3 linked regions of the Drosophila melanogaster genome follow. The protein of the gene in region 1 interacts with the protein of each later gene in a pairwise test. Each region holds a gene or a part of one and is shown on either strand. Other genes may lie near its edges. The genes, in order: CG30324, CG17328 and CG42659.

What was found.
Region 2: the proteins of CG30324 (region 1) and CG17328 interact in a two-hybrid assay, tested with the Drosophila melanogaster proteins (one large-scale study listed by BioGRID).
Region 3: the proteins of CG30324 (region 1) and CG42659 interact in a two-hybrid assay, tested with the Drosophila melanogaster proteins (one large-scale study listed by BioGRID).

What each region holds. Positions count from the first base shown.
Region 1 is NT_033778.4:16,287,086-16,289,927, forward strand, and holds CG30324 (uncharacterized protein), read right to left. Parts: upstream 1,149-2,842; 5' UTR 1,056-1,148; coding exon 561-1,055; 3' UTR 501-560; downstream 1-500. Other genes in the region: CG9068 (uncharacterized protein), read left to right, coding at 1-365; CG30099 (uncharacterized protein), read right to left, coding at 1,186-1,839; JhI-26 (juvenile hormone-inducible protein 26), read left to right, coding at 2,287-2,523.
Region 2 is NT_033779.5:16,298,147-16,301,910, reverse strand, and holds CG17328 (uncharacterized protein), read right to left. Parts: upstream 1,698-3,764; 5' UTR 1,601-1,697; coding exon 1,475-1,600; intron 1,419-1,474; coding exon 303-1,418; 3' UTR 146-302; downstream 1-145. Other genes in the region: heix (heixuedian), read left to right, coding at 2,599-3,039, 3,718-3,764.
Region 3 is NT_033779.5:18,005,685-18,008,441, reverse strand, and holds CG42659 (uncharacterized protein), read right to left. Parts: upstream 1,083-2,757; 5' UTR 949-1,082; intron 895-948; 5' UTR 875-894; coding exon 725-874; 3' UTR 600-724; downstream 1-599. Other genes in the region: CG42635 (uncharacterized protein), read right to left, coding at 1-14; CG42634 (uncharacterized protein), read right to left, coding at 104-448; CG5693 (uncharacterized protein), read right to left, coding at 1,441-1,659.

The sequences.
Region 1 (2,842 bases):
TGCGACGCAACGAGCGTAATGTGATGAAGGTTCCTCGTACCATCCGTGAAACGGTGGCTGCCAAACAGCTCTTTGAAAAACTCCTGAAGGATGTGCCAGTGAAGCAGTCCGCATTTACTCCGATGCTGGAACTCTTCGTTCTGCTGCACAAATACCAGGTGAAGCTTAGCGAGGAAACATTTGAGCAGGTTATGGGATTGGAAACGGCTTGGCTGCATTACCTTCAGGTGCTGGAGGAAGCGGATGAGATGCTGGACAATGAGGACAGTGAGGCCAAGTTGCTATTGGCCAAGCACGGCGAAAAGTTCAAGTTGATATTAAAGGATTTCCTGGAGGATTTCTATTCCAAATTACCCAAGAAATAGGAGTATCATAACTATTATCATAAGTGATAATCAATTTATTTACATTAAATTTAATTTGCACACCTACTAGCTGAGTAATGGGTATGTGATAGTCGGGGAAATTAACTATAGTGATTTATTGAAAAACATGCAAATACTTCTCACATTCCGAACTTTTATTAAACTCTTTTTTCCCCAATTGAGTCCTGCCCAGGATTACAAGTCATAGCAGAGCGATTTATTGGTACAGGGACAACCATCGATGCCGTAACGCCCAATCGGAATGTCCGTCTGGGTCTCCTTGTGCTGCGGTCCTGGCAACTCGTAGAATTTCTTACCAAAGTATCGATCCGGGAGATAGTACGATGGATACTCCGCCCTCAGCCTCTCGTGATCCTCCCGCAGAAATTTTGCCAGTTCGGGAGTAGCCCGTCGAGCTTCCAGGCGATACTGCTTCGGCTTGGCCATTCGGATTGGAACTTCCAGGTGGAGCTTCGAGTGCGGTATGTAGGACAGCAGCTCCTGGTCGAGTTTCACTGCCTGCTCTGCACGAATTTGTGCGCAAGTGGCACACTTGCATTTTCCACCATGGTAGCAGTACCGCTTTCGTCCATCCTCGTCCACCATCAGCAGTGGGGTGCAGATGGGCGACGGAACCGGTTGTGCCTCCGTCTGCGTGGCAACCGACTCCTGGGCGGGATCGGAAAACATTGTGGAAAGAGTGGGGTTCAAATCGGAAAGGTACGAACGATTTGGATTGCAGAATGAAACTAAATATCGGAGAAAAACAGATGTATTATCAGCAAACTCCTTGGCAACTAGATATCAAAAATTACAAATTTTAAATTAAACATTTTATATTGTGCAGCTTGATTAAAGTTTCCAAGTGGCTGGAGACACCTCTGCTGCATCCACAACTAAGTGCAGAGTGAGGATATGCAGCGGAGGAGTTCCACAGCCAGGTGAGATCCCCATGCCGATCACAATCTTTTATCCTCAATCGTTTATCCCCCGTGCAGTAAATGTTTTTGCTGAGATCCTTCTTATCCCGCTTCACAAAACCACAATCCGGACACACATGGGACATCGCTGGATTTCTTTGTGCAGCCTTCATCTGAAGATAGTAATCCTTGAGCTTTCGCTGACGCACTTCCTCGAAGAACTCGCGCATTTGTGGCGAATCCCGAACAGTGGGCTCCTCGATGGGCTTCCTACTCGCTTGCATTGGACAGACGACATCGTCGTGTTGAGCATTCTTCGACATTTTCAACTGATCGTGTCGGCCGCTCGTTATTTTGCCTTTTCGCGAAGAAGAGGACATATATGACATGTTATCCAAATCCGTGATCCTGATCGAAGCACTTGTCCTCTTTGGCACTTTGGATGGCATGCTGATATCTCGACTTTGCTGCGATCCATTCGTGAACTTTCGAACGTAGGTGTTGGCCCTGGTCATTGACCCGGTCGTTTTGAGTAAATACCAGTTGAGGCCCATTGGTAGTTGGTCGATAGTCGAACTGCAACGGTAGGATAGCTTTTTCTAAAACTGGAAATTTTGACTAAAAATATATCGATACCTGTGATTATGGAAAATAGAACTTAATCCAAAGGAATCATTAAACTTTGCACACAATAAACAAAAAAAAAAAACTAATTAAAACTAATAAATAGCGTATCCCCCTATCTTTGCGTCATGATATCTTATCATATCATTTTAACATGCCAAATTGCATCATGCTAATCATTAGGTAGGTACTGCTTCTCTATAAACCATAAAGTGCTTTTAATGATTAGAAAGCTTTTCATTTCCAATTCGCTCTTATCGTGTAATCTCTAACAACGAATGAGCTTTTGGAGAGTAGTACAAAATGAGCTATATGAAATGGTTTATGCTCATTCGCTATCCACAAGCGAAGCGGTTGGGATCGTCAGTACCGACGAAATGGAGAAGATCGAGGCTGAGAGGCAATGGCTGAGATACACGGTTCTTCCGTCAATTCTGAGGAACGGGCGCCTGGTGGACAACTACAGCGAGTCCAAGGTGACCACATTCCATGTGGGGGACATCGACATTGATGTAATTGGCCACTCGGAGGCCTTTATGCTAACTTTTTGCTACCGGACAACCATTAATTTTGAATACGACGGGCAAAAGTTTCAGCGAAAAATGGTGGTTAAGGTAGGTTTATTCCATTCACATAGTATAAATAAATCTTAAACAATCTATCTGGATATCTAAAAACACAACGAAAAGATTTACTATACTCGCGGAATTTAAATTATATTATATAAGTGCCTTAACTGCGTACTACTTACCAGTTTTGTTTTCCAGCAAACTCAGATAGCTTAGTGAGAGTGTGGGTTTTATGGCAAACATTGTGAAATAGAGGGAGGCATCTCAACAAAAGAACAAAGCGAATTGATTTTGAATTCAAAATAAATCACATCTAATGATGAAGTTTACTTTGGCATGCAATGACCCCAGAATACCAATAATT
Region 2 (3,764 bases), on another chromosome or scaffold:
AATTTTTACCTACAGAAAACACAAATCAAGCTTAGTTTATACAACAATGACATTTTTATATCGACGACAAGTATGCGACAAGTACGCGCGGGGAGTTTTTAGTGATTTTAGTTCTTGCATTTAAGTAATAATCTTAATAGAAGCTGTGCTTGCCAAATTTCTACATGTATTTATTGTAAAGATATAAAAGCAAACATGACAAAATATTCCATTTTATATAGACAAACTAAATAAAAGTGTTCAATATCAAAACATAATCTAAAACAATAATTATGATTAAGATAAATCTTCGTAGCTATACTCTAATAATGTAGTCTTTGTGCCGCCGTGTGGTGCAGCATAGTGTAACGTCCTTCACTTGGCGTTGGCGGTGGAGGCGGCGGCGGTGCCAACATGTGAGCCATTGCAGCCATTCCCATTTGTGTGGCGGGATTCGGTGGGCCGAGATGATGCAGTGCATCGTGATGGTAGTGATGCGACATAGGTGGTGCAGGAGGCAACGGCAAATTCAGTAGATTATTATTCGCCGCATGCGTGCGAAAATGTAGACTTAGGCTGTCCGCCGTATCAAATGCCTTGTCGCAATCCGGACACTTGAAGTGGGCGTGATCGAGGGTGTCCAGACCCACGGGATCCGTGTCTATAGCCTCATCATCATCATCATCCACTATATCATGGTTTGTACTGGACTCCAGAGGATGAAGCTTCAATTTATGAGTCCGCATATCTCTTCGCCTGCTGAAAGCCTTGCCGCAGACATCGCAGTGATGGTTTTTGATGCCCGTATGGGTTATCATGTGCTTGGAGAGATCACCGGCGGTGTAGAAACCTTTCTGACATAGCGAGCATACCTGATCCCGCACTCCTAAATGAATCTTCTGGTGCGCCTGGAAATTGCCTAACGCGGAAAACTGCTTTGAGCAGATCTCACACTGAAAAGGCTTGTCGCCCGTGTGCGTTCTTTCGTGGACTTTAAGATTGTACTTTTGGGCGAATCTCTGGATACAAAAGCTGCATTGGTAGGGTTTCTCGCCAGTATGTGTTCTTATATGCTGTGTTAATTGGGCAATGCATTTGAAGCTTTTGTGGCACTCGTAGCAGGTGTGGGGCATCTTTGGCACAGGTTTGGGCCCCCGTTTTTTGTGCTCTTCTGGCGGCTTTCTTTGATAGCGCGACCGCCTCTTGCTCACTTTGGCATCCACGGGTTCCTCTTCATCGCTATCGCGCTGCGGAAGCAACGGCTTCTCCACAAAGTCCGTATTGGTGGCCGCATCCTGGCGCCAGGATTCCAGAATGCCCAGATATTGTCGCAGTCGGAGATCACTGTTTTCGCATTCCTGCTTGAAGTGGAAGGCCACCCCCAGCCGGTAAATACAGTTGTTGCAGATCACCGAAGGTAGGCCATCGGTTTTAAAAACCTAAAACAATTTCCATATGCCAATTAACATTGAAATATTTTGTTTTTAGAACCCACTCTTATTTTAGCGCATTGCATCAACATTACGGAGGGCATCATAGCAAAGTCTGTACTATATATCGAAGTTACAGGATGTAGTTCCTCCAGGCAAACTCTGCATATTTTGTGGATATTATAGTCCATGTTTTATTTCAATTTTATAGAAATCAACAAAAAAATTATTGAAAATTTTGCTCTAAACTCCTATCAGCTGATTGGGACCAGGGCTGCAACGGTACAGTCGTAACTCTAGCTTGTGAAACAAATCTATCATATATGATTAAATTTGTTTCGCGTGTTTAAAATGAATTTCATACTCAATGTGGATTCATTTCCGCAAATATGCAAAAGATATAGTAATATTTTGGTGAGCTACTTCAACTACTAATTACGTTGATAAGTGTTGATAACAATGATTACATAAATATTTAAAACCCACCTTTGTTTTACGAATTATATAAAAAATGCACATACATGTACCGCTAAATATTTATTGCATATTATCTGAATTATTTTCATTTATGAAATTTGGGTAAAAACTGTAGGAATAGGCAGGGCTGCACATGCGATACGGCGTTGCCACCTTCAACGAAAAAGTGTAACCTTTTTTCGTTTTTGCGCTGACGTGACGTGACAGTTGATTTGTTTGATTAAAATAACTAAGAGTAAAATCGCAGCCAAATCGATTTGCGCCACTAACCCGGAATCGATAGCCGGAAGCAAAGACGCAGCCGGAAAAGGAGAGGCATATAAGAAGAACGATCCTCGCACCGGTCGAGGAAAAGAGAGAGAGAGAGAGGGGCAGCGAGAGAGAGAGAGCGTGAGAAACTGGGAGCTGCACGGGTGAAATTTCGTGGTTTCGGGACCCCGACCACCTGAGCTCTCCACCCCCCGCTGATAATATACATATCCCCGCATATATTCCCCACTTTCAAGATGCTGTGTATACAATATTAGCGATTATCGAGACCAGGCAGCGCATGTGCCGGCATCCAAAAAGGCACAAATTGAATACTTTAACTATTGTAAACAAATTCTGGAGAGGAGGTGACCAAGGTCAAACAATCCGACGAATACGAATACCTGGCGGCTAGTCTCGTTTCACTCCACCGCAAAGTGCCAGTTAACCAGTGCCGCTTGCCATGGCCACAAGCAGCCAGCTGTTGCCCAATGGCAACTTGTCCAGGAATGGCAAGACCAAGACAGAGGACGGTGAGGAGGTGGAAGCCGTTGTTGGAGCTCGTGCAGCAGGTGCAGATGCCGGAGTAGCACTAACGGGACGACTAACAGGACACCCATCCACATCCGGAACGTTTATGAAACTGAAAACCTATCTCCTAGCTCTGCGTCCCTGGTCGCTGTCCGCCAGTCTGGTTCCAACGCTGCTCGGCTCAGCCCTGGCCTACCGCTCCCAGTGGGCGGAGGAGTTTTCGCTGGCCACCTTCTTTCTCACCGCCTTCACCGTGGTCACCGTCCACTGCGCCGGCAACGTAGTTAACACCTATTTCGACTTCATCAAGGGCATTGACAAGCAGAAAGCCGACGACCGCACGCTGGTGGATCACATACTCACCAAGGATGAGGTGAGCAATCGAACGGATGGATCAATCAAGCCAATAGAGTGCAGATCCGTCCATAGAGCATAGAGCCTACTCTTATCCTTCGGAAAGTAAAACTTCAAAAAAGTAAAATTCAAACATTTTTCGATTTTTCTGACGTGTTCACCAAAATTCCACATTTGCAAATACAGTATTCCGAAAAATCAAATTATATGCAAAGAAACTCGCGAGCACTTCTAAATCTTTAATGGCAAAACGTGATATTTAAATTCAAATTTGTCAGTGGCGAAGCAAAGATTCTCAAATTTTCTTTTTAAATTAACAAAAACAATTTTAAACACCTAAAATATTTGAAAATGCATTCAGTGTATGTGTGTACATTTCAGATGAACAGAAATTAAATTAGTTTTATATACGTTCAGAAAAAAACGTGCCGAAATCATAAACCATTTTGGAAGCGAAAACAATATCAAGAATTGGTAGCAATTAGCAAGGTACTAATTCAAATCAAGGGCAAATATATTAGAGAGTATTCAAACAATAATACTTTTAAATTTATAATTTTATCGAATTTCTATAGGACAATTTTTTCCGTTTTATAATGGAATTTAATTGGAATATGCATAAATTAATTATGACAGCATGACAGCAGATTTAATCCTTATCCGCAATTATAAATAATAAATATTTGTTAATTTGCAGGTGGTATCGCTGGGTGCCATTCTGTACATGGCTGGCTGTGGAGGATT
Region 3 (2,757 bases), on another chromosome or scaffold:
TGAACCATTTCCATATCTTGGGCAAAGGAGCAGGATCTTCTGGAGGATCAGGAGGGTCGATGTCGGATTTTTCGATCGACCACGATGACAAATAATTCTAGGGCTACTCTCCAGCCATCGCCGAGATGGTATTATAGGTCGAACGGGCCAAGTTTCGGATACTTCGCGAAATTTCATTTATCAGGTAGTTAATGTCATCCGAACTGACCACCTGCTCCTGGTCGACATGGTGCTCCGGCGTTGAATCGTTTACAATCAAGACTATTTTACGAACGGGCTGAATCATGCCGGATACATCGATCACGGGCTCCGACACATGGTGATCAACCAGAAATGCCTGATGCATGATGATCACCAATTGGCGGATTACTGGCACCACGCGATCGAGGACGTTGATTGCCATTGGGGCCAGTACGTGGTGTACCACGTGATCCACAGACGAGGACATGACCAAGAGACTTGAATTTTGAATTTAGAAAACTATTTTCACACAATTTGCGACCTGATAAACTAAAATTCCCAGGAGTTCTAATTTGAAATCTAAGCCATTTCGATTGGAATATTTATATTATTTCCCCAGCAATATTCAACAGTTTGGTGACGATGAATCAATTTTATTATTTCTCTACATAGATGTGTGCGAGGCTAATTGGTGTGCAGTTTCAAAGTTCAACTATATTTGTTCCCGCCGTTATTCTTGCATTTTATACAGGTACTCGTCTCGTCAATAGCTGCTATAGCAACGACTGTGCCAGCCACCGGGGGTGTATCCTTTGTAAATGTCGAAGTTGCACGGACATACTGCGCATCTCGGATAGGGGCCAATGTAGAAAGGGTTTATGGCCGGAGTCCAAGGACGACTTAAGTAAACCATTTTCAGCACTCGAAAGAAGTCTGCAAATCTTATTTTATAAATACATCTCCCACATTTTCTCTTTCGAAACTCACCGGAAATGGAAGAGAAAAATGAGAAATTTAAACAAATGTTTGACCAGAACAACACGTTTCGTGCTTGAAATTTGAATGAAGAAAATGCGTATGTACGCTTATGTGTTATTTTGTTGACATTTAAATCAAGAATGCTGGTTTAAATTTATTTGACTTCATTTTAGATAGATCATAAGAAAATGAATTAATTTTATCTGTATTTTTTATCCACAGTTATTTTGTGCTAAAATAGAAAAGAGCTGGTAATTTGAGGTTAATATATATTATTATTGTTTTTATTATTTATAGATATTCATTTTATTTATTTATTATTATTATTAATTTTTTTGAAATATAATGTTACAATATGACGGTTCGATGCCCAGGAGATGATGAGCTAAATGGGTTTAGCTCAAGATGTTTGAAGATATTAGCAACACACAACAAGGTTGTGTGTTCAGCACATCTCCAAAGGACTCCTGGTTCATTTTTGCAGCTTTGCCTTTTTCCCCACTACTTCTGTTCCCGGAGCTTCGGTTCTTTTTGGGCTTTCTGGTCCAGTGGTTGCTTCGCCGCGTCCTTGTTGGATTGTGGGGCGGGATTGCATCGGGGTAGTTGGGACTCCGGGCAAACTCCGCACTCCGGAACCGTGCAGTGGCCCTCCTCCAAGCAATCGGGGTCACAGCAGGGCGGATCGGGTCCAATGTAGCCCGGATTAAATATGCAAGGCATGCTGCAGCACCTCCACTGAAAACGAAGGTCGAGGCAGATGGCAGTGGCAAATTGGGTCCCACTTTATAGATTTTGTGAATTTACATAGATGCTAACTGGGTGCAATTTTCGGGCCGAGTGAGGCTCATAAATGTTCTCATTTCCATGGGTATTGAAACACAATGGAACGGGTAACTAGATGCCCGAGTTGCGCAAATCTCTAAACAAAGCTAGTTAATTTCGTACTAGAATCGATGCGAATAGCTCCCACATTGAACTCTATCTCCCAAAATCCGAATCAAAGTCCAATCGCCCTTAAAATCACCGGTTAGTGCGTGCAGAACGCTTATAATTATTTCATAATCGGGCAACACTTCAGTTTTATGGTGACAAAAGCCAGCGGAAAGATAACTGCAACTGCAGGCCATCGAAACTGGGCCACAAATGGCTGCAGGCACAAATATGGAATTTAAGTTGAAATTAATGAATAATTAAGCTGCTTTGGGCAGACGCTCGCAGCGGAAGTACAGCATTTGCATAGCTAACACAATGAACTACATACGGCCGGACAAGACTTGGCCGTTCATAAATTAGATATGCAAATGTAAATGCGAATGGAAAACTAACGGCAATTCCTTTGTCAATTAATCAATCAATCAACGCAGCCGCTCGCTGCGATCCAGAAAGCGATGCGGAAATCACTTGTCCCACATATGTACCTCTGCCCCCGCCCAGAAACTCCATCCATCGCCATTTCCCCCTGGCCACTGCATCTAGCTGCATCTGGCTGCATCTCCATTCATCTACATCACGCATGCCAATTTGCCTCAGCACGGTTTTTGATTGCCCGCTAAGTTCGGAGCGTTGTGAGCCCCCATCGATGCTTATCCCCCGGTTTTAAGGCGATGGCAGAGTCATTAGCATCAAAGGGCCATGGTGATATGACCAGCGCTCCTGGCAGCTCATCTGCACTGTGGTCTTTGCAGTGACCCAAAGAGTTTGAACCGAAGTGCTTTGACTTGGGTTAATTTGTGGGCTTTCAGCTTGGAAAGTATAAAAGTTTCACATGCATTGTTCAAGCACACAAAATACCGACAAAAAGACCGAAAAGGGTTTATT